Linked DNA regions of Macaca fascicularis. The protein of the gene in region 6 purifies or fractionates together with the protein of the main gene of each other region. This does not show direct contact. Links are inferred from orthologs where the notes say so. Each region holds a gene or a part of one and is shown on either strand. Other genes may lie near its edges. The genes, in order: SMARCC1, DPF3, TRRAP, PHF10, SMARCD3, ACTL6A and BRD8.

Region 1 (4,270 bases), about 19 Mb from region 6:
CCACGCGTGGCTAATTTTTGTAGTTTTAGTAGAGACGGGGTTTCACTATGTTGGCCAGGCTGGTCTCGAACTCCTGACCTTGTGATCAGCCCACCTTGGCCTCCCAAAGTGTTGGGATTACAGGCGTGAGCCATCTCGCCTGGCCCTCCTGATCACATTCTATTCATTTTTTTATTTAATATATTTTACTGTCCGTGACACAGCCCTCAGGAGATCCTGAAAACGTACATACCCTCATTTTTAAAAGGTCTCAAAACCTTATCAGCAGTTAGTCACTTTCTCATAAGCAATTAGTTACTTGCTTCTCTGAGATCATATAGCATTATGTTCACAACTCCATTATGGCCAGTCGTACTTTTTGAAACAGGGTTTTGCTCTGTCGCCCAGGATGGTGTCGTGAGTGGCGCGATTATAGCTCACTGCAGCAGCCTGCATCTCCCCAGCTCAAGCGATCCTCCCACCTCAGCCCTCCAAGAGGCTAGGAGCACAGGCTTGCAACACAATGCCCGGCTGCTTTTTGTACTTTTTTGGAGAGACGGGGACGGGCGTGGCGGTCTAGAGCTCCTGAGGTCAGTCGATCGTTCCGCCTCAGCCTCCCAAAGTGCTCCACGCCCGGCCAATCATACCTTGATAATTTAAAAATTTTCGGCTTCTATATGGGCCATTCATTAATTCATCAAGTATTCACTGTACATGTATTCATTGTCTCAGGTGTTCAGGATACACCTGTGAACAAGTTAAGATTAGGTTCTCATGTAATTTATGTGGAAGGTAAATGAGAAACTAAAAACACCGGGTCATGGTAAGCGCTACGCAGAAAGTGTATGGGTGTGAACAGTTCAAGATTGTAAGATATGACAACGGCTTTCTGAAGTCCTTTGAACCAGTGAATCTGAACGCGTCTCATAAGTGAAAATCAGAAGGGAAGACCCGCTGAGGTCTCCGAAACAGCCGATGCAAGGGCCCGTGGGGGCAGGAATGAGCCGCTGTGGCTGGACCCCTGAGGGAGTGGAAGGTCTGTGAAGCCGAAAAGCCTTGGCGTGGGCGTCCCAGATGGCTCTTCCCAAATGCCGCCGGGCCGCTGGGGGTGGAGGGTCTAAGGGAAAGCCGGGCCCGGCGCACTCGATACCCTAGGCAGGCTTTCCCCTCGGCACTTCTCGCACCAGACCTTTTCCCTTCAGCGGAGGCAGGCTATGACACAGAATCAACCTGCGGTTGTTAACCGCATAACGATTCGACGTCGGTAGCGAGGGAAGAGCATGGCTCAATAACCGGCACTCACTAGGGGAGAACGGAGCCTACAGAGGCTGGCGGAAGAGGCGGCTGGACGTGCTAGTCCAAGGCGCGCCCGCACGAGTGCTGCGCATGCGTATGCGCGGGCTCGCGTCGGATACGGCGCCAGTCCCGAGAGGGGGCGGGGCCGGGCGTCCGCACCGGAAGGGGGTTGGCTGGGCGGGGCCGGGAAGCGGCAGTGGCGGCTACGCGCGCGCGGGCGCGCGCGGGAACGAACGGGAAACACCGCGAGGGCTGGGGTGGGCCAGGCTGTGGGGACGACGGGCTGCGACGATGGCCGCAGCGGCGGGCGGCGGCGGGCCTGGGGCAGCGGTAGGCGCCACGGGCTCGGGGGCCGCGGCGGTAGCCGCAGGCCTAGCCGTTTATCGGCGGAAGGATGGGGGTCCGGCCACCAAGTTTTGGGAGAGCCCGGAGACGGTGTCCCAGCTGGATTCGGTGCGGGTCTGGCTGGGCAAGCACTACAAGAAGGTGGGTTCGCGCGCCCATGGGGGCCGGGAGACCACGCGACTGGGGCCGGAGGCGGCATCTGGCCTCGCGGGCCTCGGGCCTCCCCTCCCCCCCGCACGCCACGAGGGACAACAAAGGCAGGCGCAGGGCCCGCCACGCCCCCGCCGTCCGCTCTGGGCGCCCGCGCGCCGGTGGCCTGACGGGTCAGGCGCTTGTTCTTGTGAGCCCACGCACCCCTGGCGAAAGCCCCTGCTCAGTCTCGTGTGCCAGAGCAGGTCGAGCTCAGCCACTAGGCGAGTGTGACTCTCTTTTGTCAGCTGCCTTAGGTGTATGAACAATGATCCCTAAAGACCGAGCAAGCGTGGTAAAAGCAGCTTCAAGTTTTGTTTAGAGAGTATTCAAAGTCTCGAGGGGGTTTGCTACCTGTTGTTGATTTGCTAAACGACTGGGATGATTGTATTCGTTAATTACTAACAGGTAATGTGAATTCTAGGATGGATGAGAGCTATTAACGACGGTTTCTACCTCATTGTGCTTCTGGTTCTGTGTGGCGTGAGAGTTAATGTTCACTTGTACGTAAAGTGTTCTTCAGGGAGGCCTTCCGAGAACCCAGTTTTTATTAGAGCACTTTTCTTATGTCACCTTTATTTTCTTCGTAGTGTTTACCACATTTTGAAATTAGTCATTTACTTATTTATCCTACCTTTGGAATGGAAGTTCCGCCGAGTCAGTAGTTTTCAAAGTTTTGACTTAATCCCTTGTTTATAACATTTTTTTTTTCTCCAACTTCCCCTTTGTGTAAATATTCCGGAGAACTCCCTTAAAGGGTGTAATGAAGCAGGTAGTCAAAAAGGCTCCCCAGCCTCTGAAGTTTTCCTATCACCCTCTTTAATTCTGTACTTTCTCCTATTGAGGATCATAGCACTGAAGAAAGGGCTTTGTTCACTACAGTGTATCCGGGAACGTGGCTGATACTTAGTGCCTTACCCTTAGTAGCTGCTTAGTAAATATTTGTTTAATGAATGAAAAGATAAACTAGGAACCTATTTATTTGGCCTTTACAGCTCAGTGAAGCCTGTCAGTGTTTGGCAGTTATTAGGCATGGGCAGGGATCTTGGGTTCCTTTGGCATTACACGTGGTACATTCGGAAATGACCATTTCTGGCCGGGCGCGGTTTGGGAGGCCGAGGCGGGTGGATCACCTGAAGTGAGGAGTTCGAGACCAGCCTGACCAACATGGTGAAGCCCCGTCTTTCCAAAAAATACAAAATTAGTCGGGTGTGGCAGCACACGCCTGTAATCCCAGCTACTCGGGAGGCTGGGGCAGGAGAATAGCTTGAACCTAGGAGGCAGAGGCTGCAGTGAGCCGAGACCGCACCATTACACTCCAGCCTGGGTAATAGAGTAAGACTCTGTCTCAAAAAACAAAAACAAACAAGCAAAAAACAAACCCCAGAAATGACCATTTCTTTCTTTCTTTTTTATTTTGGAAGTTCAGCTGGGAAAAATTACATTTCTTGTCTGAAGTTTGAGGAAGTGAGAGACAGTAATTATATTTTTAGGTGCTTGGACCCCCCCCCCAAATTACATTTAGACTCTAGATGTTTAGTAATATTGCCCTTTCTTACACAGTGATAAATTGGTCACTTTTTATTTTATTTTATTTTATTTTTGAGACGGAGTCTCGGTCTGTCGCCCAGGCTGGAGTGCAGTGGTGCGATCTCCGCTAACTGCAAGCTCCACCGCCTCCCGGGTTCACGCCATTCTCCTGCCTCAGCCTCCCTAGAAGCTGGGATTACAGGCACCCACCACCACGCCTGGCTAATTTTTTTGTATTTTTAGTAGAGACGAAGTTTCACCGTGTTCGCCAGGATGGTCTCGATCTCCTGACCTCGTGATCCGCCCGCCTCGGCCTCCCAAAGTGCTGGGATTACAGGCGTGAGCCACCGCGCTTTTTAAACGTAGGTAATAGAGCTTCCAGGAGTGGCTAGTGGGATTGAATATGTTATGAAAATATTGGTTAATTCTTTCTTATTACATTCCTTTTAGCCAATGCTTTGGGTCTTAAATTCAGTGAAGCTTTAACAAAGAAAAATAATCTAGAGATGTTCCTTTGAATATCAAGGAAGAGAGTAGAAAAAGGCAAATTTCAGTAATTTCTACCTCTCCACACTGTTCAGTGTGCATCAGTTTGGGACCAACTACAAGAAGCTTTAGGTGTGGATAATCATCTTCAGATATTTGTTTGGGTGGGTAGGGAAGTGGCTACAAAGCAGTTTGAAGAATTGCCCAGTAGTATTGAGACCACTAGGCTAATGTTGATTCACTATCCCTGAGACTTTATAGACAAAGTTGTCTTTGACTTCTCAGGACTTTGTAAAGCCAGAGTGTATTTCTGTGGTCTACTGAGATTGAGAATCATATATGCCCTAGGCCTGACAGCCAGAATCTTTTCAGTCTCTGGGTGTTAGTGTCGAAGTGGTGAAAATATTATCAGAAGGTTCTTTGCTTCTTTTCTACACAATGCATT
Region 2 (3,984 bases), on a different chromosome or scaffold from region 6:
CTTCTGTATGCTAACGAGGCCCCTACCCTATTCTCGATTTAATGCGGTTTCATCCACGCAGAGCTTCCCGGTGCCCAGTGGAAGCCTGACTTCGCAGAAGTCTCCCAATTTTGTCAGGGGCTCGCCAGTGAAGAGTTCACACTGACTTGAAGCAGACACAGACTCTTTGGACGCCTCGGGTCACATCGGATTATTCACTAGCAAATTCTTTCCACCTTCTAAGTAGTGAAAGGTGACGTCAGAATCGCGTGTGCCACTCCTCTAAAGGGACTCTGACAACACCCAGTCCAGGCTCTACGACTTCTGCCTAGGCACTTGCTTCCTAGTAGTAGAAAGTTTCCAAAGGTTGCCTCAAGTCCTCCCTACCTCTAAGCCTAAAGGTCAGAGCTCCAGGTCGCACCACCGAGCAGGAATCTGAGCATTTTGGAAGTTTCTGGTGTAGGGAGCAGAACAGAAGGGGTGGTAGCGGCGGACCGCGCAGAGTAACCCCCCTGCACTACGTAAAGAAAGCCCTGGCTGCAGGAGGGAGTGAGCCTGACATTGAGGCATTCCAGGGGGAGGGTGAGTTGCTGTCCTGGAGTCGCCAGGAACAGCAGCGGCAGTTCCAAGAAGCGAGAGAGGAAGGTGGCGGAGATAAAGAGAACACTTCGGGAATAAGAATATTAAAAAGCAGCAGGACCCAGAGCATTAGCAAACGGCAAAGCACACGAAGTAATTTGTTACACGAAGCGGCAGCCTTCCAACTTTTGTACTGAAACACGGGGATTTACCCTTTGGGGGATTAAAAATGTTGATATGCAAAGCCAAAAGCTAATGAATAGGATTCAGTGGCTTGCTGGCAATATTGAAATATTTCTGTCCAGGAGCGCAAACTCTGCAGTTATTTAGAAAAGTAGGGAGTTGAACCAAACTATAATATTCTCCCGTGCGTCTCCACTTTCCCCAGCCCGAAAAGGAGCTGCCAACGCGGTACTTCCCCTTTAAGACCTGCTGGCTCTCGGGCTCTACAAAAGGGAGTGACCTCTGGGCTTTGACAGCTCCCCTAATAACTACCACCGAGCAGGCCCCGCCCACCTGGCGACCAGCCGCGCCGATTGGCCGGCGGGCCGGTATCCCGCGCTCTGATTGGCCTGTCGCTTCCCCTGAGCGAACCTTTAGAACTCTGAGACAGACAATATTCTGTTACATTGTAGCAAAATGGCGACTGTCATTCACAACCCCCTGAAAGCGTAAGTAAGACTAAAAAATGTACATATTCCGCGTGGTTTCAATATGAAAAAAAAGGCGCCTTCTGCGTGGCGAGCGCTGCCAGTGCTTGCGCTTGCAGGCGCCTCCAGCCGCGGCGGGGCTTCTCTCTTCTTTCAGCTCTTACTTCTTTTTTTTCCCCCAACGCGCAGAAATGTCAGGAGATGCAATTAACAAGAAGAAAATTGTTACATTTGTGTTCTGCTAAATTGCAGAGAGAGCGAGAGATAGGGGTTGCCGGCGGAGGAGCCCGGCGCTCGAGCGCTCTACAGCAGGGGGGTCGCGGGAGCTCGGGGACAGCGCGGTCCCTGGAGTCCCCCGCCTCGCGGGCAGGGAGCGAGGCTCCGGGGGCGGCCGGGCGGGGGGCGAGCGTCGGGCCGGGACTGCCTCGGTGCACTTGGCCGAGCCCTGCACCCCCAAGCCCGCGGCCCCCGCCCCGCCGCTGGGTCTGCTGGGTCCGGCGGACGCACCGCGGAGGCTCCGGAGTTTGCAGGGCGCTCTTCGCCTTCCGATCGCTCGCGGGGAGTTTGTGCAAACCTTCCGGAGTTGGGAGCACCGCGGGGGAAGCAGCGGGTCCCGGGCGCGCTGGGTCCCAGGTGGTCGCCCCGGGCTTTCCCCGGCAGCCCCCGGATCTCGGAGGCGCTCCGGGCGACCGCGCGTGTGTCTGCTCGTGTGTTTGCGAGCAACCTGGCTGTAGTGGATTAACGACTCGGGTTAACTTGGGGTGGATTTGGAGGCAGGGAAGCCGCAGGTCTTATGAATGGTGTTCTCGCCACCTCTGGGTGAGGCGCCGAGGCAGGCGGAGAGGCGGTTTTGGGGCTCCTGGCCCGAGGGGGCAGCGTCTGCTCCCGGCCGGGCGAGGGGCAGGTGCCTCTGGCCGCCCCGGGGAGACTTTGAGCGCTTGTCCAGATCCTGGACAGAGTGGGGCGGGCCGGACGAGCACTCGCGGGGGCCAGCCCCGGGTCCAACAGCCAATTTCTGCCTGCCTGCCTGCCTTCCTCCTCCTTTTCATCCTGGCTTCCTTCCTTCCTTCCTTCCAGTCGGTGGAACTGTTAAGCCGCCAAGTCCGCTCGCGATCGCGGAGCCAAGGGTGGCCTCGGAAAACTAGTGTCGCTCTGAAAGGGGTGCTATTGGGTGATGTCGGCAGAGGGTGGCTCCCTCCGTATTCGAGGTGGGCTGGGGGTCCGCACCCCTTCGACCGGGACTTCCCCGCCCGGACGAAGCCGCAGGCAAAGAGGGGGAGAGGGAGGTGCGGGCCGGGTAGGGGGCGGTTCGTGCCGAATTCTCCCTGGTGCGTGGCCACTGTCGACCCTGCTTCTTTTAATTCAGCGCATTCTCGTCTTCACCCCTCGCCACTCCTGGAGTTGAAAACCAGGTTCGCTCCCGGAGACGGTAGGGGGGTTCCTAACGCAAAGGAATGCACAGGGAGAATCAGACGTGTTTGCACCAGCTCGTCGCCCACCAGAAATAGGGAAACGGGTAGGAATGCCCCAGGTTTCAAAGATATTTATATGAAAGCTGCCGTTAAGAGGACGTTGGAAGCTGAGGCTGAGCAGATAGGAGCTCCCGGCTTCAGTTCTGCCTCGGAAGCTCGGATACACTGCACTTGAACGCCACAGCGTTTCATCCAAGAAAGAAAATGTTTTATGGCAGAATAAATGGGCGTAACTTCGCCGCATCCTCGCTGCCGGTTGCTTTCGCTGCAACACCGCTGATGCTGTCTCTACCGAACCCACAACTGATTTGCAGTTTCCCCATATCCAGCCGAAATCACATAACCAGGCTGATGCCACCTGGTAAACTCAAGTTAGAGAATCTATTTCACATGTGCACCAGGTTTGTTTCCTACTGGGAAAGCCGTACCCTAGTTACCCGGGAGCCCGCTTTCGCGCGGGCGGGCGCAGTATCTCTAAGCTTCAGTGTTCCCCTGCTCGCTCCAGGGTTTTTTTGGATCACAGTAGGGTGCGCGTTTGGGGAGGGAGTCTGTGTAGGGTGGGGTTAAGGGTGGGGGAAGGGACAGACGGGGGGGAAAGAAGGTGGCGGAATCCCGGCTGGTTAGGGGAATTAGTTCTGAATTGTACTTTGTATAATTAGAAACAGTTGCAATGTGATGTATTTGTAATTGTGCCGCCACACGCATGCACACACTAGCATACACACAACGCCCCTGCTTGCTTTTTCTAGGTGGGAGTTGAGTGGTCATTTATAATTAGCCATTCCTTTCTGCTTCCCAGACCCTTTCCCTGGGGGTAAAGGGGTGTAAACAATACCCCTGACCAGCCCAGCCTCTCACACCCTGGACAGTTTTTAACTCCTAATGCAGGAGCACACACGTTGTTATTGGGAGACGGACACCATCTGCCTTTTTTTTTTTTTTTAAACAACTTGTTTAATAAAACATCTTATATATTTCATTTGTTTTTAAAAGTTGCTGATCAGGAAACAATACAAACGTGAATAAATTATGCATGGGATAAATTAGAACAAAGTGCAGAGACACATCCAGCCGAAGGGATGGTGGTGGTGCAGGGAGGAGGGGTAGCGGAGAGAATGGTTTGGAGAGCTATGTTTTTATCCTCATGTGTCCCTCCTGACAATGAAACAGAGCTGAATGACATTAGCATTTTCTCTGTGTGCGTTCTGAGTCTCTCTCTTCCCTCCAAAAAAAAAAAAAAAAAAAAAAAAAAAAAAAAAAAAGCCAACACCACGGACGCCCCCTACAGAAAATGGTCACACAAA
Region 3 (3,500 bases), on a different chromosome or scaffold from region 6:
TGTGGTTGAGGAAGGTTGAGCCCATGGTGTCCTCTGTGGCCCAGGGCACGGCAGGGCCCAAGGTGTTCCAGGCTGCAGGGTCAGGTGCAGCCTCCAGCTCTGCAGGCAGAGGCATGGATCCCTGTTTCTGATCAGCCTCTGTTGACAGAGTGCATGGCCTCTCGTGGGAACTGATGCCAGGGCTTTTTTGTGGCACAGGCCATGGCCTGGTCATTCTGTGGACAATGGGCAGTTCTGAGGTATTTGCAGGAGAAGAATGGATTATATTCTTAAGGCAACATTAACTTTCGACATCGTGGAAGCCAGTGACAAATACGTGCTGACCCCAGAGTCATCCTGTTTCTAAACAGCGTGAGTGTCCAACTGGGATGTTTGTTCCAGGTTAGCAGCTGTCAGGGCCTGTCGGCAGAGGGAGATGCCCACAGCACAGAGGAATCCAGCTTCAGAGCCACTTCCTCCTCTATGTGCCTCTTGTTTGTTTTGTTATTTATTCTACTCCTTCATTCTTCTCTCTTTTTCTCTTTTTTTGTTGAGATGGAGTTTTGCTCTTGTCGCCCAGGCTGGAGTGCAGTGGCATGATCTCGGCTTACCACAACCTCCGCCTCCTGGGTTCAAGCAATTCTCCTGCCTCAGCCTCCTGAGTAGCTGAGATTACAGGTGCCCGCCACCACGCCTGGCTAATTTTTGTATTTTTAGTAGAGACGGGGTTTCACCATGTTGACCAGGCTGGCCTCAAACTCCTGACCTTGTGATCTGCCCGCCTCGACCTCCCAAAGTGCTGGGATTACAGGCGTGAGCCACCATGCCCAGCCCAGCCTTTGTTTTTTTGGGTTTTTTTAAATAAATTTTAAAAAAAGCTCCTCAGACTTGTAAGCCTTTAGTTCCTAGAGTTCTGACAAAGTTGATTTTGGTGGTTTTGCCAGCATTCTAACTGCTTCAGGAGCAGACTTTGGAAATCCTTTGCCGTCTCAGAAGTGCTCCTTCCCGTTTGACAGATGAGGAAACAAACTGCGTGTGTGGCCAGTGGCCTGCCTTGTTCTTCCCGGTGGAAGGCAAGAACTTTCTCACGACCTTTCTCACGTTCTGCCTCACGGCCATTCGGAGCACGTGGGTAGGACTTAGTCTGGAAGAGACCCTGTGCCTCTACCAGATGGTCGAACAGGAACTCCATTAACTAAGGAAACTTTCTGAGTTGGTGATGTCTGCAATAGTCCATGAGTACGGAGTTCAGTCTCGAGTGTGTGTGTGGTTAGACCAGCTCCTTCAGTTTGTGAAATATTGGTCATTAGTATAAGGTCTTGGTTGGAAGTGGTGCTGCTGGTGTCCGGCTGTTGTGTTCTGTTAATTGGCCTGATACCTTCTGTGGTCAGCAAGGGTGGAAGTGTCAGATACTTGCCTGCATTCTTGTCAGGTATCGCATGTCAGGTAACTGCGGCTTTGGCGCAGACCAGCTGCGTTGGTGCTTTAGAGCAGACGGCGGCGAACCCTGGACGGAGGCAGCCATCTTGCGCCTCCTCACGTTCAGTCTCCTAACAATGCGCGTGTTAAATCTGTCACCAGAATTTACTCTCGGTGCTAAGTTAAAGAGGAATTGCAATTTGAGAGTTTTTCTTTTGCCAAAAAAAAAAAATCAGTGAGTGAGATGGGAGTGTCACGGGGTGATGTGTTTCAGGTCCTCCGCGACATCCTCAAGGAGGTTCAGAGTAACATGGTGCCACGCAGCATGCTCAAGGAGTGGGCGCTGCACACCTTCCCCAACGCCACGGACTACTGGACGTTCCGGAAGATGTTCACCATCCAGCTGGCTCTGATAGGCTTCGCGGAATTCGTCCTGCATTTAAATAGACTCAACCCCGAGATGTTACAGATCGCTCAGGTAACCTGGTTTGAACTGCCAGATCCTCTCCTCGTGACATTGCCTTTCTGCTGAAGTTCCTAAAGTGTCTCCTTCTGAAATTTAGGACACTGGCAAACTGAATGTTGCCTACTTTCGGTTTGACATAAACGACGCCACTGGAGACCTAGATGCCAACCGTCCTGTCCCGTTTCGACTCACGCCCAACATTTCTGAGTTTCTGACTACCATCGGTGTCTCCGGCCCGTTGACGGCATCCATGATTGCGGTTGCCCGGTGCTTCGCCCAGCCGAACTTTAAGGTGGGTCTCCGCGTCGTCCTGTCATGGGCACAGGCTGGGGCCACTCAGATGCCCAAGCGCCACGGCCTTGCAGGAGCTGCTGATCTGCCTCACGGGCTCTGCGTTCTCCACAGTGGCCGGCACCCGTGTTACGTCCTTTGCTGTGCGGGCAAGGGATGGTTTTCTCTTTGGTTCACTCTCGTCTGTAGTGCTTGGAATGGGCCTGCTGGACACTGGGCAGACGCTGGAAGGCGTCAAGTGAACAAATAAAAAGATCGGGCCCCAGTCGCAGCATGGCTGCCTTTGCCGTCCGGGTCTGTGCTGCCCAACACGGAGGCTTTCTGGCTGCTGCTCCAAGTGGAGGAAGGGGTTTGTCCCTCAGCGGCTTCCCCAGCCCATCCTGAGAGCACACAGCCTGGCCTGGTGCTGAGGCTTGACGGGCCCTCGGTGGCCCTGGGCGGCCACTGTGGTTGAGTCCCACCCTGTTAGGAAGCTGCCCCTCTGGGCTGTTCTTGGTTAAACACACGTCCTCTCGTTCTCTCCCTCACGCAGGTGGACGGCATTCTGAAAACAGTTCTCCGGGATGAGATCATTGCTTGGCACAAAAAAACGCAGGAGGACACGTCCTCTCCTCTCTCGGCCGCCGGGCAACCGGAGAACATGGACAGCCAGCAACTGGTGTCCCTGGTTCAGAAAGCCGTCACCGCCATCATGACCCGCCTGCACAACCTCGCCCAGTTCGAAGGCGGGGAAAGCAAGGTGAACACCCTGGTGGCCGCAGCGAACAGCCTGGACAATCTGTGCCGCATGGACCCTGCCTGGCACCCCTGGCTGTGACCGCGGCCGCCATGGCCACCCGCAATGTGAAGGGCGCCCCAGGCTCTGAGCCCGCAGCTTATACGACTTGTCCCTGCCTCGTTCCTTTTATTCTCAGAAGCCCCGCGGTTCCACTGGGTTGCAGTTATTTTCCTGGTAGTTGGTGTGTGAGAGGGAGAATTTAGTTTTAGAGGAAGCTGAACTATGACGACGCTGGGCGAGGCGGTTAGAAATGGCAGAGCTGAAACTTCCTGCAAGCTTTTAAAATAATCTTTTAAGAAACCAGGATTCTCCGGTCTGGAATTTCTGGGTGAGCCCTTTTTTTATGGTGTCCTCTGTCTGTGAACGTACAGGCGGGACTGTGCGAACCGCTCCTTACCATCCATTTTTAACTCTTTCGGAAATAACACCTCACAGCAGCTTCCTGCTTTTGTACAGACCTTTGTAACAAGTGTACAGAAAACCCGTTTGGTTTGAGAAACAGATGATGAACCCATCGTGCTGGTTTTTCTCTGAGCACAAACTTTTAGGCTGTACGCAGCCAGCCTT
Region 4 (4,095 bases), on a different chromosome or scaffold from region 6:
GCAACACTAATGAATGGAAAGGAGACAGGATTGTACTTTAAATCCGACAGCATTTTTTACTCTCCAGAACAAGTCATCTGGAGACGCAAGCCAGCTGTATGGCGGGCCGCCCCGGACCAGGCTCGGCTCCTCACTTCCCGCTGTTTTCAGTGCGGTCCTAGAAGTGCCCTGATGCAGCCCGACATCAGTAATAAATGCATCTGAAACCCACCGGCTCCCACGTTCTCGCGGGGGTACCTGCCAGGCCGGCGTCCAGGCTCCTCCCCGGCTCCCGGCCGACCGCGTTCTCGGCGGAGGCATCAACCACGCGGGAACGCAAAGCCGCGAGGGCCAAATCTCAGCGACTTCTTCCCGCCGTGCCTCCCGCACGCTCCGGCGCGGGCGTCGACAGCCCGCGGGGACAGCTTTGGATGCTCGGGGAAGCGCGGCCCTGGCAGGTGGCTCCGCGGCTCTCTCGGAGCGTCGCCAGCGAGAGGGGCGGTCCGAGAACAAAGGCGGGCGAGGAGCGACGACTGCGAGCGCACGGAGGCGGAGGCCGCGCAGTCTCCGCGCGGCTGCTCCGAGCAGGGCGACCCCCGGCAGGGAGGGGGTGGGGCGGGGACCCCCGGAGGGGCGGGGCGGGGCAGGGCAGGGCGGGCGCCACCGGGAGAGAGGAAGGGAGCGAGGGTGACGCGTGGAGGGGCCGGGCCGGGGGCCGCGGGGAGGGGGCGGCTGCGAGCGCGCCAAGTGGCGACGAGCCGGGCCGGGGCGGGCCGGAGGGCGGGCGGGAGGTGGGGCGCGCCGCGGGCTGGGGGGAGCCGCGGTCGAGTACAGCGCCGGGCCGTGGGGAGTCAGGCGGCGGCGGGGCTGAGGCGGCCGCGGGGCTGAGGGGAGCAGGGGGGCTGAGGCGGCTGTGGGGTTGAGGGGAGCGGCGGGGCTGAGGCGGCGGTGGCGCTGAGGCGAGCGAGCGGCGGGGCTGAAGGGAGCCGCGGCGGCGCTGTGGGGGGGGCAGCGGCGCTTAGGCCATCGGCGGAGCTGTGGGGGGCGGCGGTGCTGAGGCGGCGGCCGCGGCCGGGCGGGTTGGGCTGACGAGAGAAGCGCCGCCGCCGCCTGGCCTCCTCCATTCCGGCCCGCAGCCCCGCGCCCTTCCAGCCTCTGGCGCCCTCCCGCGCGGGCAGCGCGCTGGCGGCGGCCATGGCGGTGGCGGCGGCGCTGGCGGGCCGCGGGGCGCGCGGCGGCAGGGGCCGGCCCCCGGGCGGGCGGGCGGAGGGGGCGGGGCCGGGGCGGCGGGGGGCCCGCGCGGCGGCGGCGGCGGCGGCGGCAGCGGCGGCGGCGGCCGGGACGAGGCGGAGGCGACGGCGTCGGCGGCGGCGCGGGGCGCTCGGGCTGATGGCGGCGGCGGCCGGGCCCGGGGCTGCGCTGTCCCCGCGGCCGTGCGACAGCGACCCAGCTACCCCCGGAGCGCAGTCCCCGAAGGTGAGGAAGCGGCCGGTGCGACCCGACCCTGACCCCGTCCGGGGCCCGTGTGCCGGGGCCTCGGCCCAGTCCCACCGGCGGCCGCCTAGCGTCTCGGGGGCGTGGGCCCCAGGCCGGGCTCCGCGCCTGAAACCGGGGGTGGTCGGCCAGGCGGGGCCCCGAGGGGAGCCCGCGGCCTCTAGCGAGCAACAAGTGCGGGCGGGCGGGCGGGCGGGCGGGGGACGCGGCGCGGCTTCCCCGAAGTTGGCGGCCGGCCCCGCTTGACAAGCTTGTCCCCAAAACGCCTGTTCCGGGGCTAGCCGCGGAACGGAACGCGTCCGGGGCCGAAAGAGTTGGCCTCGGAGGGGCCTGCAGAAGCGCGCTAGTTCGCTCAGTCTTCATTCCGCGCATAGTTTGCTGAAGTGTTTGAAAGCTTACTGCAAAAAACCGAGTGGCGAACGATATGGAAAATCAACACACTCAGTTTGTGAACTTAGTGTAATAACTAAGTAAATACGCAAGCGTCCGGATGTTTTCGGCGGAAGTCTTTTTTTTTTTAAACTTTTTACTGCTTGAGGAGGTGAAAAATTGGTGTTTGTGGAGAAAATGGAGATGAGCAGTAGAGTGTCACGCATCAAAACGTTTTGGTTCCAAAGTTAGGCTAGCAGTTTGTGACAGAAGGTTGGAAGGGAGGAATGATGTTTTAAAAGCCTCGAAACTTGAAATTGGGTTGAAATTAGAAGGCGGCGGGAACTGAAATGCTTCAGAGCCAGCCAGCCTTCGTACGGTGTGCGGTGTGCGGTGTGCGCGTTGGCAGGGGAAGCCATCCTGTGGCAGCCTAGCGGGGCTGCGCCTGCCCGGGAGCTTTTCCCGTTGCGCACGTCTGTCGTGCCGTAAGAGAAAGACTTGTTTTGAAGGTTCCTCAAAGGCCCTCGCCAATGGAAGTAACTAGATTGTAAGACTCTGAATGCACAGCCTTGCACTTCCAGTGTTTGACGTCTGGCCCGGCACCTGGAGGGCACTGAGCTAGTGCCCACTGAGTGCATTCTTGACCCCTGAGCCTTAAGAAGGACGTGATGCATAGAAATTCATCTGATCCGTAGGTGGAAACCACCTATAACTCTGGAAGGCACATCTCTGATTTAGTACATTTGGGAGTCTTTGAAAACATGGGCCTGTGTATCAGTATTGCGATTACACGGAAATTCTTACCTTATTCCGTCGTGTATTGGGAACAATATTGCTGTTACTACCTCTCTCTAGAAAAAGGCTCTCTGCCCAGATGCTCACTTTGTATAATAATGCCTTTGCCTAGAATTTGTACTAGTAATTTAAAACACTTTTTGAAATTGTAGTCTCAGCTTTTTTGAGCACTTTGCATTTTTAACTATTTTTGTATATTTTTGAGTGTCTCAATTTTTTAGCTAAAGGGAAATATACTTAAGTTTAAGGACATAAAAATCCTTAAAATGCTCACAAATAAAATAGAAAAAAAATACTGGAATGTTTAAAATGAGTTATGTTAAAAGTATTGAATATGAAATGTTGCAGTTGTGATACTTATGCAAATTTTCAGAGAGTAGATTTAGACTGTGCAGAGCTCTTTAATGAAATGCTAATTTTATAAGGACTGAAAAAGATTATATATTTTACTATTTGGAAAGGAACCAGTAAATTCCTAGGAGCTAGGGACATTTGAGACTTTATTATCATAATCATCATTTTAACTAGTATTTGTCAGATAATTCGCTAGTCCTTGTTCTAAGTACTTTTAATATAGTAGCTCATTTAATCATTGAATTAGCCATGTAATAGGGGCTCTGTTATAATCTCAAATTTTCAGATAAGGAGATGCTTACAGAGAGTAACTTACTCAGCTAGTAAGGGACGGTGCCCAGTGAGAACCTAGGCCGTCCAGCTCTGGCATGCCTGGCCACTATACCATATTGCCACTTTATATTCTTTTGTAGGATTCCTTTCATTTTAATATGTAGCAAGAACACCATGATATTTAGCAAAATTGGATTAGCGTTAAAAGCTATATTACATTTTAAAAATTATGATTTTTTTAGACCTTAAGCTTTGGCTGATAAGTAAATAAATCAATTTCCTAACATCTGATACATTTTCTGAGTGCAGTGTTTGAATTTATAACCTTCATGTTCTTGCCACATAATGTATTACATTAAAAATATATAAGCCTCTTCCTTAAAAAAAAAAAATTCCCCTCCCCCTCTCAAGGTTCTTTTTTTGAAGTGTGTGTTGCTATATTATAGATTGATGACCCTTACTAGGGTATATTTTTGCTAACCTTTAGCAATGTAAGAGGAAGAGTGAATAGTTAGAATTGTTTTCAGTCTTGTATGTCCCCTTTTCATGGGGACATAAATGCCTAGTCAATTAAAATAGTCCTATGAACCGACTCCAAGTTGAACTGGGAACTGTAAATGATCCATACATTTTTTCCCCCCTGGGCTTGGGTAGGAGAGTTTGCTTTAATCCTAGAGTGATGCAGCAGTTTTATGTGTTTATGAAGAGCAGAAAGCATTTTAACCTCAGTTGGCAAGAAAGCAAAAGCAGATTTACATTTACGGGTTAATTGAAAATACTCTTATTTTGATTGGATTGAAGATCAGTTTTAAATTTTATTCCAGGTCTTGC
Region 5 (3,500 bases), on a different chromosome or scaffold from region 6:
TTTTTGCGGTACCTTCCGTAGCCCCGAGGCTCGCAATGCCCTGTGCGGTGCCTGGCTTCAGTTAGCTTCCTACAGCCAGACGCCAAGCCCCTCCGCCAGAGCCGCGCGTATTCCGGCGCCCCTGCCCCTCCTACCCATCGTTCCCACCCATCGCTCAGCGCTCAGGGTCACCAGCCGAGGGTCTGGTGGGGGAGGGGAGACGCCGGCTCACCGCGCCTGGAGCTGGGGGCCCTGGTCTGACCCACGGGCGCCCGTTTCTGCTTCACCCCCGCCCACCCACAGCGCCCCGGGATGCCGTCTGGAGCCCGGATGCCCCACCAGGGGGCGCCCATGGGCCCCCCGGGCTCCCCCTACATGGGCAGCCCCGCCGTGCGACCCGGCCTGGCCCCCGCGGGCATGGAGCCCGCCCGTAAGCGAGCAGCGCCCCCGCCCGGGCAGAGCCAGGCACAGAGCCAGGGCCAGCCGGTGCCCACCGCCCCCGCGCGGAGCCGCAGGTGAGTGGGAGGCCCGGCGCGGAGTGGGCGTGCAGGGGCGGGCCCTGGGGACCCGCAGGGACCAGGTGAGAGAGTAGCGGGGATTGGAAGAGGTGAGGAAGAATGATTAGCAGGGAGCGAGGCTTCCCGGATCGGATGCCCTCTGGGGAGGTGGGCTTAGGGGGCACCGGCCTGATTCTTTTGTGTGCCCACGGTAGAGACAGGCTGTGGCCGTCGGCAGCCGGTACCGCTTCCCTGCACGCTCCCCTCACCCTTCTCCTTGTCACCTGCTCAGTCCCTCTCTCCACCCATCAGGTTCTGGGTGATGCTTAAGTCTTTGGGTTGGGGGCGGGGCTTCCAGTGGGACTGAGGGCAGAGCTGTAGGACTGTGTTGCCCAAAGTGTAGTTCTCCGCTGAGCCTTCCTGCCAGACCCCGGACTGTTTCAAAGCCACTCCAGATTTTCTCAATGGGACTCTCTGGCCCTGGGGGTGGAGCTTGGGGATTTGCCCTGTGGTAGGTGGTCTCTGCCCAGTTCCGCTCTTAATTCTTAGGCACTCTGGACCAGGTCTGCTCCCAAGCCACCAGGGCCAGCCCATTGCCTTATTTTCCTCCAGCAGCTGGTGGCACCCTCAAAGCCCCTGCTGGCTCCTGGCAACAGCAGTGCCCCTCTGGATTTCAGTATTTAGCCAAATACACATGCTTTTTTTGCACAACAGATGGATTTCTATAAAAGGTGTAATATCAATTTTACCTCATTATTAAGTATTTTTTACACATCAGGGAAAATTCACCACTTATAGGAATCCCATGATGAATTATTTTGTAAAGTGCATCGTCATTTTGTACAGCAAACGGTAATTCCCTGATTTATCTTGTATAAATGGAGAGTTACACAAAGATAATCTGTCTAAAACAAACCAGACCTTTAATGAAATCTGCTTGTTAGCCTTAGATTTCTGCATAGGGAGGGGGTAGTGGTTGAGAACACCACACGGGGGCAGTATGGAGCTATTCTCTAGGCTGCGTTTTCATCTCTTGACCCGCCAAGGTTTTTCTGGGGGTTTTTGGGTTAGTCAGCAGCAGCTAGTGGGTCAGAAAGAGCTCACATCCAGCTGCTACTACCCTGGGCCTAGTCAATTTGGCCTCAGCCTGAAGTCACACCCATGCACATTCTGGGCGCCTATGGCTGCAGCATGTCCCTCACCTTGTTGCCAGGTAGTCCCAGGGCATGAGTACCCCTGCTCATCAGCATTCTCTTGCAAGCCCAGGGTGCCTGGAAGGGATGCAAGTCCCGCCAGCTTCACACCATCACCTCCGCTCCATGGATAGGAAGGAAGTCGTCTATCTCCCTCCCTCTGAGCTTAGAATCCTTTGGACAGGGCACCCCCTGCTTTCCAGAAAAGGTCCTCAGACCTGGCTTCCCTCTCCTTTGTCCTCCCTCATCCCCACCTTTCCTCAAACACTTCTGCAGCTCCCATCTTTTGGCAGCACCACCCCCACTCGCCAGTCCCTCCTAAGTCTAAATTTCTCTGTCCCTAAGGATGTGGCAGGTTAGAAGGGGGCTCCCAGGCCAGAGAATGGACGGGTCACCCCTGTGTCCTTAGAGAGGACAGAGCACCAGTTCCACACACCACCGTCATAGCCCTTGGGCGGGCAGACAAGCGGGCTGTGGGAACCCCAGCCAGGCGGGCGGAGATGTCGGGATAATTTAGCAGGTGGCCTCGTTACTCCCAGATCTGTCGCCATGGTAACCTGGTTTTTTCTTTAAAAAATGTACAGTGCCAAGAGGAGGAAGATGGCTGACAAAATCCTCCCTCAAAGGGTGAGTGTCTTTCACAGCAGCCCCCAGCCCACCCCCTACCCTTTGCTGCTCTGCCCTCCCCTCCCCCCTCAAAAGCAGAGCTTCAGTGTCACAGTCACTTTCACTTTTTGTTTAAAAAAACTCATTAATAAGTGAGGCTCCCTAGGCCAGAGGGAGGGGGTGAGGTGGAGGGAAGCAGCAGAGCCACTGGGGCCAGAACACAGGGGCCTGTCAGGGGGCTGGATCCAAGTGGTACTAAGACAGAGTTGTGGGACAAGAAGGGGGCAAGAGCTAGGGGATCAAAAGCTGCCAGGCAGAATGAAGGGGATAGAAGGTGGCCAGAGATCCTGAGCATCCTAAAGGGACCCAGGTCCAGCTGGATATGGGGGACAGCACAGTTGGGACAGGTGTGGGGGCTGAGCAATGTGCCAGCAAAGAAGAAAGCACTGCTGTCCAACTGTCCCAGGGATTGAGCCCCTACTAGGCACTTTGCAGGGGCCCAGGGGAAGCCCAGTGGGCATATGACATAGAAAATGACAGGATGAGGAGACTAAAGGCTAGTGCTTTGCTGGGTTCCACAGTTGCTACCTCCTCCCCGTGATGATACACAAGGCTCTTCCTAAAGGGAGAAGCAATTGTTATCCCTACACAGCAAGGCCCCTACTGCTGGATAATGGCATCCTGGGGAGAGGTCCTGTTCCCACTGTCAAAGCTCCATGCCCAGAAGTAGGATGGCTCCCCCGACATCTTTTGCACCCTAGGATTGCACAACATGCATACATTCCATGGTACAACCCTGGACTCGAGCCTCTGACTCCTGCCCTGCTCCTCCTCCTCCAGATTCGGGAGCTGGTCCCCGAGTCCCAGGCTTACATGGACCTCTTGGCATTTGAGAGGAAACTGGATCAAACCATCATGCGGAAGCGGGTGGACATCCAGGAGGCTCTGAAGAGGCCCATGAAGGTGCCTTAGTTCGGGGGTAGGAAGGGGACTCTTGAGTCGCGTGACCAGGATGGGGAAGCAAGGTAGTCAGGGTGGAAGCACACAGCATTTGCCCGGTTCTACACTCTATTTCTACAGCAAAAGCGGAAGCTGCGTCTCTATATCTCCAACACTTTTAACCCTGCGAAGCCTGACGCTGAGGACTCCGATGGCAGCATTGCCTCCTGGGAGCTACGGGTGGAGGGGAAGCTCCTGGATGATGTACGTCCCGGCCCAGGTCTCT
Region 6 (4,194 bases):
CAATATCTGGTAGCAGTCTCACTTCCTGCCTCATACACTGACTTACTGGGTAATATGTCATCTCCTGAACACACCACATACTCTCAGCTAACCTTTGCATATGTTGTCCCTTTCCACTCCTCCTCCATCATCTCCATTACCTCTATTGTAAAGTCCCTTGACTCCACCACATGGAATCAATAACTTTATTCTCTGAACTACTTTTGCACTATATATATATAACATATGTAAATATATATAACATATATAAATATATAACATATAAATATATATAACATATATAACATAAAAATTATATATATTATATATATAAATTATATATAACATATATAAATATATATGTTTGTTTTTGTTTTTTTAGGATACAGTCCTGCTCTGTCACCCAGGCTGGAGTGCAGTTCCGGGTTCAAGTGATTCTTGTGCCTCAGCCTCCCCAGTAGCTGGGACTCCAGGCATGTGCCACCATGCCTGGCTAATTTTTGTATTTTTAGTAGAGACAGGGTTTTGTCATGTTGGCCAGGTTGATCTTGAACTCCTGGCCTCAAGTGATCCGCCCGCCTCAGCCTCCCAAGTTGTTGGGATTACAGGTGTGAGCCACCGCACCTGGCCCCTTCTACATATTGTTATCAATGAACAGCTCTCATTGAATTACAGTTACCATTTCTGATCAATATAAGATGCTATCAACTACATGATGCACCACTATTTCCGGCATCACTAAGAAAATAATATGGCAATTAAAACTCTGCCAGGCCAGCACTACTGAGACATATTCTGGCTGGGGGCAGTGGCTCAAACCTGTAATCCTAGCACTTTGGGAGGCTGAGGCGGGAGGACTGCCTGAGCTCAGGAGTTCAAGACCCGTCTCTATTAAAAACAAACAAACAAACAAAAGACATATTCCAACTTCAGCTGTTTAAATGTGGGAAAAATGTACAATTAAGAATCGGTGAAATATGGTGTCTATTTACCTAACGGATTCATCTACAAGACTGAACTTCTTGATGACAACAGCCTATACCTGCCACATAGTGCTCAAAAAACATTTTTGTGAAATAGAAAAAAATCCAACATATCAGCTCATTTTCCTGCCCTAATTAGTAAACTGGATATGGTGGAAGTTTAATTTAAGACTCTAAATTCTTAGAATTTTACATCTGTTCCTTTTTCAGGATGGGAGATACATCTAATTCCTGTACCCTGCTTCATTAAAAATCAAGCCCCATGAACCCTAAGTAGGAGAGTGGCAATGGGAGGCAGGAGGCTTAGTAGAAAGAACCACAGAGTTCTGGATGTTTAAAACCTAGGATGCAATTTCTAGTGTATAAAAATCCTCAAGAATTGAACCTCGGCCGGGCGCGGGGGCTCAAGCCTGTAATCTCAGCACTTTGGGAGGCCGAGACGGGCGGATCACGATGTCAGGAGATCGAGGCCATCCTGGCTAACACGGTGAAACCCCGTCTCTACTAAAAAATACAGAAAAACTAGCCAGGCGAGGTGGCGGGCGCCTGTAGTCCCAGCTACTCGGGAGGCTGAGGCAGGAGAATGACGTAAACCCGGCCACTGCACTCCAGCCCACTCCAGCCCGGGCGACAGAGCAGGACTCCGTCTCAAAAAAAAAAAAAAAAAAAAAAAAAAAAAAAAAAATTGAACCTCTATTCTACTAAAAAGGCTTTTTTTTCTTTTTTGAGGATTTAAATGTTTTTCTCCTTCCAAGTTTAGGGGTGATGTGATTTTCTTGGGGAACATGAAGGAAAAATCTTATTTTTGTTGTATCTTACCTGTAAAATGACATCCTTTATAGAAACAGCATCACTACTAGACACAGCAACAATAGCAATAGTCTGGATTTGTTTTCTGGGTCTCTAACTCATCAAACACAACCCAAAACATTAATTATATGTATCAGTGTTTTGATTCACCTGCAGATCTTGCAAAAATGGAGGCTCTAAATCAGTAGATTTTGAATGACGCGTGAGATTCTGCATTTCTAACAGGCTTGCAGGTGATGCTGACACTGCTGGTCCATGGACCAGACTTTAAGTGGCAAATGTAGCATTATTTCATTTAACCTTCACGCCCATCCCCATTGGCTAGGAATTATTCCACAAATGAGGCCTGAAGTTGGAAAATTATGTAAATTGCCTAAGACCAAAGCGCTCAACAGTGAGGCGGATATTTCAACTCAGGTCTGTAACCCCCCGCACCTGGTAATCTTTCTGCCATACCAGTCTAATCAAGGATAAGTGAAAAAACAAGACGTCTAGGACCCCCGGCAAACTTTCTGGGCATCCTTAAACTACACGTGCTCCTGAATTAATCTCAAACAGACCCGCCCACGAGTCACTCTGGAGACTCCGCAGCCAACAAACAGGCAGGAGTTACTGAAAGGTGAGGCAGCTCGCGCATGGGGCACAGACAGGGAGGAGGCAGTACCCTAAGTGGCCGCCGCTTCCCTAGTCAGTTCTACGGCTTGAGGCTCGCATTGCCACCTGTGAGACGCTCTGGGAACCCTCCGTCCACGCTTGCAAACCGCCGGGACCTTCCAAGTTTAGGCGCGAGCACATGCGCCCCGACACAGCCGAGTCCAGGAGGCACTCGTGGAGATGCGACCCTGGGGCGGTAACGCAAGCCGGGCCCGGCGGCCGGCTGGACTGAGCTTCCCGCCCAGCCCCGAGGCTCTCTAGAGAAACGAGCGTGCATCCCAAAACCCTGCTTCTCCGGGGGCAGAGGCAGGAACCGGCCACAGAGAGCCACCACTCCAGGGCGCCCGAGGCGCTGGCCGAGCCTGGTGGGCTCCGGGGGCGGGCAGAGCGTGGGGCGGGGATGGGGCGGGGAGGCCGGGGTCCCGAGAGGGGGAAACCGGAAGGGAACGCCGAGGAGGGGAGGGCTGGGAGCGGCGGTTACAAACCCCACACGCCGAAAACGCGCGCTCTCTCCTCCGGCCGCACTCACTCACCTCCCCCGTACACGCCGCCGCTCATGGCTGCTGCCGGCGCGACCCCTACCCTAAGGGCTAACTGGAGAAGTGACTGCAGTGGCCCCGACTGCGAGTCCCGAGAAGCGATAGCCCCTGACTCCCTTAACTTCCACCGCCACCCCCCTCAGGCAACAAAGCGGCGTCCACACACCCCGGAGCTCAGCTACACTTGCTGTCTCCTCCTATCAGCCAATCACGAGGGTCCAGGCCTACGTTTAGTCAATCAGAATGCGGCTGCGCCGCATCCCCGCCGCGGCCCAGCAGGTTTAGCCAATCGAAGGCAGCCATGGGGGCGGGGAAAGAGGAAAGCGACAGCCGGACAGAAGGAGTTGGGTTGCGGAGCTGAAGCGGGCGGAGCTTCCCGGGTGGGCGAGAGAGTGGGCGGAGGCAGTGGGAGAAGAAGGAGGAAGGCTGGAGGGAAGCATGGGAGGGGCGTAAGAGGTGCGGCTGGGCGCTGAGGAGCTGCGGGAACCTGGGTAGGGGAAGGTAGACTTCTGGAAATTGAACGTGTGTCTCAACGCTGAGATTCCTGTCCAGTGACTGTGGGCAATGTGGATTTCTTTCTTTTTTTCTTCAGAAAAAGTATTTTAAACTAACTTTAGGTTGAAGAAATAAAAATTTTGCGCTCCACTTTGGGATAGGGGAATCAGTAAATCAGACAAATTGATAGGATCTTGTAATTTTTTAAATGGTTATTAATAAGTAAAAGAAGAATGAAATGATGCATTATCCCAGCTAAACCTAGGTAGCGCTTTAAAAACGATTTAAAAAATCAATTTCTTAAAAAAAAAAAAAAAAAATTTCAGGCCGGGTGTGGTGGCTCACCCGTGTAATCCCAGCACTTTGGGAGGCCGAGGCGGGTAGATCACGAGGTCAGGAGTTCGAGACCAGCCTGGTCAACACAGTGAAACCCCGTCTCTACTAAAAATACGAAAATTAGCTGGGCGTGGTGGCACACACCTGTAGTCCCAGCTACTTGGGAGGCTGAGGCAGGAGAATCGCTTGAACCCAGGAGGTGGAGTGTCCGGAGCTGCACGCCCCGGCCATAGTGAATAATAATTAAAGATTAAACGCCTGAGCTATATTCATTTCCACCCCACACCTTCTCCCTAGATTTACCTTCTTCCCTGTATTAATACTGCCATTAAAAGATGGCGCTCTTCCTGCTTCTTTTTCATTCTTTTTTCCCGCGCCTGCGAAAAGACTACCTGACT
Region 7 (3,965 bases), on a different chromosome or scaffold from region 6:
GGTTCTTGCGTACCACAGACCCCAAATCTGCAGCTGTGGACTCAAACATGGGAGAGACTACGACATCGTCATCGGACAGCAAGCCCGCTGGCGGAGAAAGGATCCCTTGCGACATGACGGCAGGGGCAGCCTAGGTCTAAAAAGAGACCAAAAAGTGGGCAGGGAGAACAACCTTTAGGGACAGAAGGGGCCGCGAATTTTAGGTAATAAGTCCCTTGCCCCAGGACACCGGGTCCCGCTCCCTACTTCCTTTCCCCTCTAATTATCGGCAAAGGGGAATGGAATGAGAGAAGTTCACTTAATGAACAATCGAGAGAAGTTTGAGGTTGCATTTCTGAAAGCGAACAGAAGTCCACAGAAATCTGGCTCCAAAAGCAAAAGGCCAGGCCTAAAGTAGGGCACCTCGCCCGCCGGTGCTGTGGAGGTGGTGTCAGGATCCCTCGGCTCCTTTTCTAACCTCAACCCAAGGACCACCGTGAGAACAGAGATGCAGCATTAAGAGAAAAACAGATGGCTGCAGTTCCGATTTCTTAAAGCCTATTCCGCGTGGGCAAGAGCTGGTAACCCGGGCTCCAGCACAGCCGCACACTCACCCGAAGACGTGCCACTTGCTCCTCCTCGGGTACCGGCTCACTCACACCTAGTCGCCGAACCTGGACTTTCGCAGCCGGAGAGCACAACTCCGCCCACGAGGTGCAGCTTTGTTACCGATACAATATTTTAAATTACGCGCTGCGTTCGTTCGGCCAATGAGATAGGGAAGTCTGCAGCTACCAATCTGCGTAAGGAAAAGGGGCGGGTCCGACTGGAATTCCAGTAGTTTGCATCCGCTTGACCTCTCAGATCTAATGTGGGTCCGGGTTACCAACTGTCGCGGGTTAGGAGTTATTTCGCTTGGGATTCTTCCAGCTTAACCCTTTTTCTTGAACCTTAGACATTTCTTACCTAAGAACCCTAAAGGAAATCTTGAGGCTTCAGCCGCCAACCCCTGTCCTTCCTTAGCAAAAATCTTAAAAGGATTGCACAAGATAACTGGTTTAGGGTGCTTGCTTTGTCTTAGGGGAAAAAACGACATTTCCCAGGAGGCACCGCGAACCAACGCCGGTACTCTACTTCCCAGAATTCCAGGGTTTCGGCCCTACCAGACCGTCTCTCCTCAGGGTTGGAGACTTCGGGGCCAAGATGGCGACGGGAACGGGCAGTGAGTATCTGAGCAGGTTTTGCGTGAAAGGCGTTTGTAGATCCGAGGCTAGGCACCATATTTTTGTTACACGCTTAGGGAGTGGGAGAAGTGGTTTGCTTGAGAGCTCAGGGTTTTCAGAGACCTGCGCTCCACAGCATCGTGAAGACCAACGTTTGGGGGCCCAGAAATCTGGGGTCTTGTTTCTCAGGGAGGGAGCGGAGGTGTGAGAGAAGGAGCTTAGTGAATCCTAGTGTGTTAGGAGCCCTTCGGGGTAACCGTAAAAGCACTCTAGAAACTTGGGCGTGCAGACGAAAAGATGTTATGAGCCAGACGGAGTAACCGGCACCTCAAAGAGCCATTCATTTTTTGTTCGACGTTTGTGAGGCAGTGGAAGTGGGGCCTTTTAACCATGAGCTTTTCTTGCCACTCAGGAAATTGCATCTCGGGGATTTCAGCCATTTTTCTTTTAGTGGACTGAAAAGGTCTTTTAGGCCCGACATTTGGAGTAGAGGATCTGAGAGAAGTAAACAAGTTTATGCTAAGAGGGAGGCGGGGTTGTAGGAGGGGCTGGCCGCTCGGGTTCCTGGGAAATAAGCCCTGAATAAGTTCAAACTGGAATAAAGTCCAGTATTCTTAAAACTGGGCTTTTAGGGAGAACTGCCTAATCTGACATTCCCAATTTTTTAATAAAGCGGAGCTTCAAGCCGTGGCGTTTTAAGAAATAAAATGTTAATAATTCACATGCAACAAATTGGTACCACAGTCACTGGTGATACTTCACTTGGAGAGGTGAAAATCAAGATTTGGTGATAGTAGCTCACTTTGTCCTAACAAGTTGGAATATTTTGTATTAGGCTTTTAGTCCCCTTTTTGGGGATTTTGGAGCTTAGCACTACAGTCTCAGTGGTTGCTTCCAAGGCTTTTTTTTTTTTTTCGTTTCCCAGAACACAAGCTGCTGAGTACTGGCCCCACAGAGCCATGGTCCATCCGAGAGAAGCTGTGTTTAGCATCTTCTGTCATGAGAAGTGGAGATCAAAATTGGTAAGCTATCTAGGATGTCAGCTTTTCTGGGTCTTAGAAATTGTTAGATACTCTTTCACATTGATAGATTTCTGTAGTTAATCATATTAAGCTGTAAGTAGACTTTTTCTTCTTCCCTTTTTTTTTTTTTTTTTTTTTTGAGACAGTCTCCTTCTCTCGCCCAGGCTGGAATGCAGTGGTGCAGCCACGCCCAGCTAATTTTTTTAGTTTTTAGTAGAGACAGAGTTTCGCCATGTTGGCCAGGCTGGTCTCGAACTCCTGACCTCAGGTGATCCACTGGCCTCAGCCTCCCAAAGTGCTAGGATTACAGGCGTAAGCCACTGCGCCTGGCCATGCCTGGCTAATTTTGTATTTTTAGTAGAGACAAGGTTTCACCATGTTGGCCACGCTGGTCTCAATCACCTGACCTCATGATCTGCCCACCTCGGCCTCCGAAAGTGCTGGGATTACAGGCGTGAGCCACTGCTGCCGGCCTTTTTTTTTTTTTTTTGAGACAGGGTTGCACTTTGTGGCCCAGGCTGGAGTGCAGTGGTGTGATCTTGGCTCACTGCAACCTCCATGTCTGAGGCTCAAGTGATCCTCCCACCTCAGCCTCTTTAGTAGCTGGGACTACAGGTGCACACCACCATGCCCAGATAATTTTTTGTATTTTTTTGTAGAGATAGGGGTTTCATCATGTTTCCTAGGCTGGTCTTGAACTCCTGGGTTCAAGCGATCTGCCCACCTCAACCTCCCAACCTACTGGGATTACGGGTGTGAGCCACCAGGCCAGCTGTATTTTTTTTTTTTAAACAGCTTTATTGAGATATAATTCACATACTATAAAATTAACTTACTTAAGATGTACAATATAATGGTTTTTAGTATATTCACAGTTGTGCAGCCATTACCACAATCTAATTTTAGAACATTTTCTTTATTTTTATTTTTTTTATTTTTTATTTTTTGAGGCTCTTGCTTTGTTGCCCAGGCTGGAGTGCAGTGGCGCAATCTTGGCTCACTGCAAGTTCCGCCTCCTGGGTTCATGCCATTCTCCTGCCTTAGCCTCTCGAATATCTGGGACTACAGGCGCCCGCCACCACGCTCAGCTAATTTTTTTTTATTTTTAGTAGAGACGGGCTTTCACCATGTCAGCCAGGGTGGTCTTGATCTCCTGACCTCGTGATCAGCCCACCTCGGCCTCCCAAAGTGCTGGGATTACAGGAGTGAGCCACCGCACCTGGCTGACATAACGCTTTTAAGGTTCATTCTTATATAGCATGTATCAATACTTAATTCCTTTTTTAGCTGAATAATAATCTGTTATATGAATATACCAAATTTTGTTTATCCATCGCTTGATAGACAATTGGGTTGTTTCCACTTTTTGACCATTATGAATAATGCTGATGATACGCACATTTGTGTACAAGGTTGTGGACAATGTTTTTAATTCTCTTGAGTTTTTTATTCAAGGAGTGAAATTGCTGGGTTATGTAGTAACTCTATTATGTTCGCTTTTTTTTTTTTGCAGACAGGGTCTCACTGTCACCCAGGCTGGAGTGCAGTGGTGCAATCTTGGTTCACTGCAACCTCTGCCTCCTGGGCTCAAGTGATTCTCTGGCCTCAGCCTCCTGAGTAGCTGGGACTACAGGCACATGCCATCATCCCCGGCTCATTTTTGTATTTTTTGGTAGGGATGGGGTTTTGTCATGTTGCCCAGGCTGGACTTTTTTTTTTTTTTTATTTAAATATTTATGTT

Evidence for each region.
Region 1: the proteins of ACTL6A (region 6) and SMARCC1 fractionate together in Homo sapiens (co-fractionation; 8 studies listed by BioGRID and IntAct, with this or other methods). This does not show direct contact. The link is inferred for Macaca fascicularis from reciprocal best matches to the Homo sapiens genes ACTL6A and SMARCC1.
Region 2: the proteins of ACTL6A (region 6) and DPF3 purify together in Homo sapiens (affinity purification with mass spectrometry; 4 studies listed by BioGRID and IntAct, counting the BioPlex papers as one, with this or other methods). This does not show direct contact. The link is inferred for Macaca fascicularis from reciprocal best matches to the Homo sapiens genes ACTL6A and DPF3.
Region 3: the proteins of ACTL6A (region 6) and TRRAP purify together in Homo sapiens (affinity purification with mass spectrometry; 7 studies listed by BioGRID and IntAct, with this or other methods). This does not show direct contact. The link is inferred for Macaca fascicularis from reciprocal best matches to the Homo sapiens genes ACTL6A and TRRAP.
Region 4: the proteins of ACTL6A (region 6) and PHF10 purify together in Homo sapiens (affinity purification with mass spectrometry; 3 studies listed by BioGRID and IntAct, with this or other methods). This does not show direct contact. The link is inferred for Macaca fascicularis from reciprocal best matches to the Homo sapiens genes ACTL6A and PHF10.
Region 5: the proteins of ACTL6A (region 6) and SMARCD3 purify together in Homo sapiens (affinity purification with mass spectrometry; 3 studies listed by BioGRID and IntAct, with this or other methods). This does not show direct contact. The link is inferred for Macaca fascicularis from reciprocal best matches to the Homo sapiens genes ACTL6A and SMARCD3.
Region 7: the proteins of ACTL6A (region 6) and BRD8 fractionate together in Homo sapiens (co-fractionation; 4 studies listed by BioGRID and IntAct, with this or other methods). This does not show direct contact. The link is inferred for Macaca fascicularis from reciprocal best matches to the Homo sapiens genes ACTL6A and BRD8.

Annotation. Positions count from the first base shown.
Region 1 is NC_088376.1:110,703,931-110,708,200, reverse strand, and holds the start of SMARCC1 (SWI/SNF complex subunit SMARCC1), read left to right. Parts: upstream 1-1,470; 5' UTR 1,471-1,566; coding exon 1,567-1,761; intron 1,762-4,270. UniProt on the Homo sapiens protein: Involved in transcriptional activation and repression of select genes by chromatin remodeling (alteration of DNA-nucleosome topology).
Region 2 is NC_088381.1:140,763,275-140,767,258, reverse strand, and holds the start of DPF3 (zinc finger protein DPF3), read left to right. Parts: upstream 1-1,184; 5' UTR 1,185-1,197; coding exon 1,198-1,229; intron 1,230-1,235; exon of another isoform or gene 1,236-1,409; coding exon of another isoform or gene 1,410-1,818; intron 1,819-1,868; coding exon of another isoform or gene 1,869-1,942; exon of another isoform or gene 1,943-2,067; intron 2,068-3,984. Other genes in the region: uncharacterized protein, read left to right, coding at 1,410-1,818, 1,869-1,942. UniProt on the Homo sapiens protein: Belongs to the neuron-specific chromatin remodeling complex (nBAF complex).
Region 3 is NC_088377.1:47,584,194-47,587,693, forward strand, and holds part of TRRAP (transformation/transcription domain-associated protein), read left to right. Parts: intron 1-1,672; coding exon 1,673-1,876; intron 1,877-1,961; coding exon 1,962-2,156; intron 2,157-2,687; coding exon 2,688-2,972; 3' UTR 2,973-3,500. UniProt on the Homo sapiens protein: Adapter protein, which is found in various multiprotein chromatin complexes with histone acetyltransferase activity (HAT), which gives a specific tag for epigenetic transcription activation.
Region 4 is NC_088378.1:1,310,907-1,315,001, forward strand, and holds the start of PHF10 (PHD finger protein 10), read left to right. Parts: upstream 1-1,295; 5' UTR 1,296-1,368; coding exon 1,369-1,455; intron 1,456-4,095. UniProt on the Homo sapiens protein: Involved in transcription activity regulation by chromatin remodeling. Belongs to the neural progenitors-specific chromatin remodeling complex (npBAF complex) and is required for the proliferation of neural progenitors.
Region 5 is NC_088377.1:192,524,447-192,527,946, reverse strand, and holds part of SMARCD3 (SWI/SNF-related matrix-associated actin-dependent regulator of chromatin subfamily D member 3), read left to right. Parts: intron 1-282; coding exon 283-494; intron 495-2,253; coding exon 2,254-2,296; intron 2,297-3,115; coding exon 3,116-3,238; intron 3,239-3,355; coding exon 3,356-3,478; coding exon of another isoform or gene 3,479-3,494; intron 3,495-3,500. UniProt on the Homo sapiens protein: Involved in transcriptional activation and repression of select genes by chromatin remodeling (alteration of DNA-nucleosome topology).
Region 6 is NC_088376.1:91,315,539-91,319,732, reverse strand, and holds the start of ACTL6A (actin-like protein 6A), read right to left. Parts: upstream 2,801-4,194; 5' UTR 2,704-2,800; coding exon 2,493-2,703; exon of another isoform or gene 2,437-2,492; intron 1-2,436.
Region 7 is NC_088380.1:144,666,394-144,670,358, reverse strand, and holds the start of BRD8 (bromodomain-containing protein 8), read left to right. Parts: upstream 1-1,165; 5' UTR 1,166-1,182; coding exon of another isoform or gene 1,183-1,201; intron 1,202-2,127; coding exon of another isoform or gene 2,128-2,161; coding exon 2,162-2,224; intron 2,225-3,965. Other genes in the region: kinesin-like protein KIF20A, read right to left, coding at 1-115. UniProt on the Homo sapiens protein: May act as a coactivator during transcriptional activation by hormone-activated nuclear receptors (NR). Isoform 2 stimulates transcriptional activation by AR/DHTR, ESR1/NR3A1, RXRA/NR2B1 and THRB/ERBA2.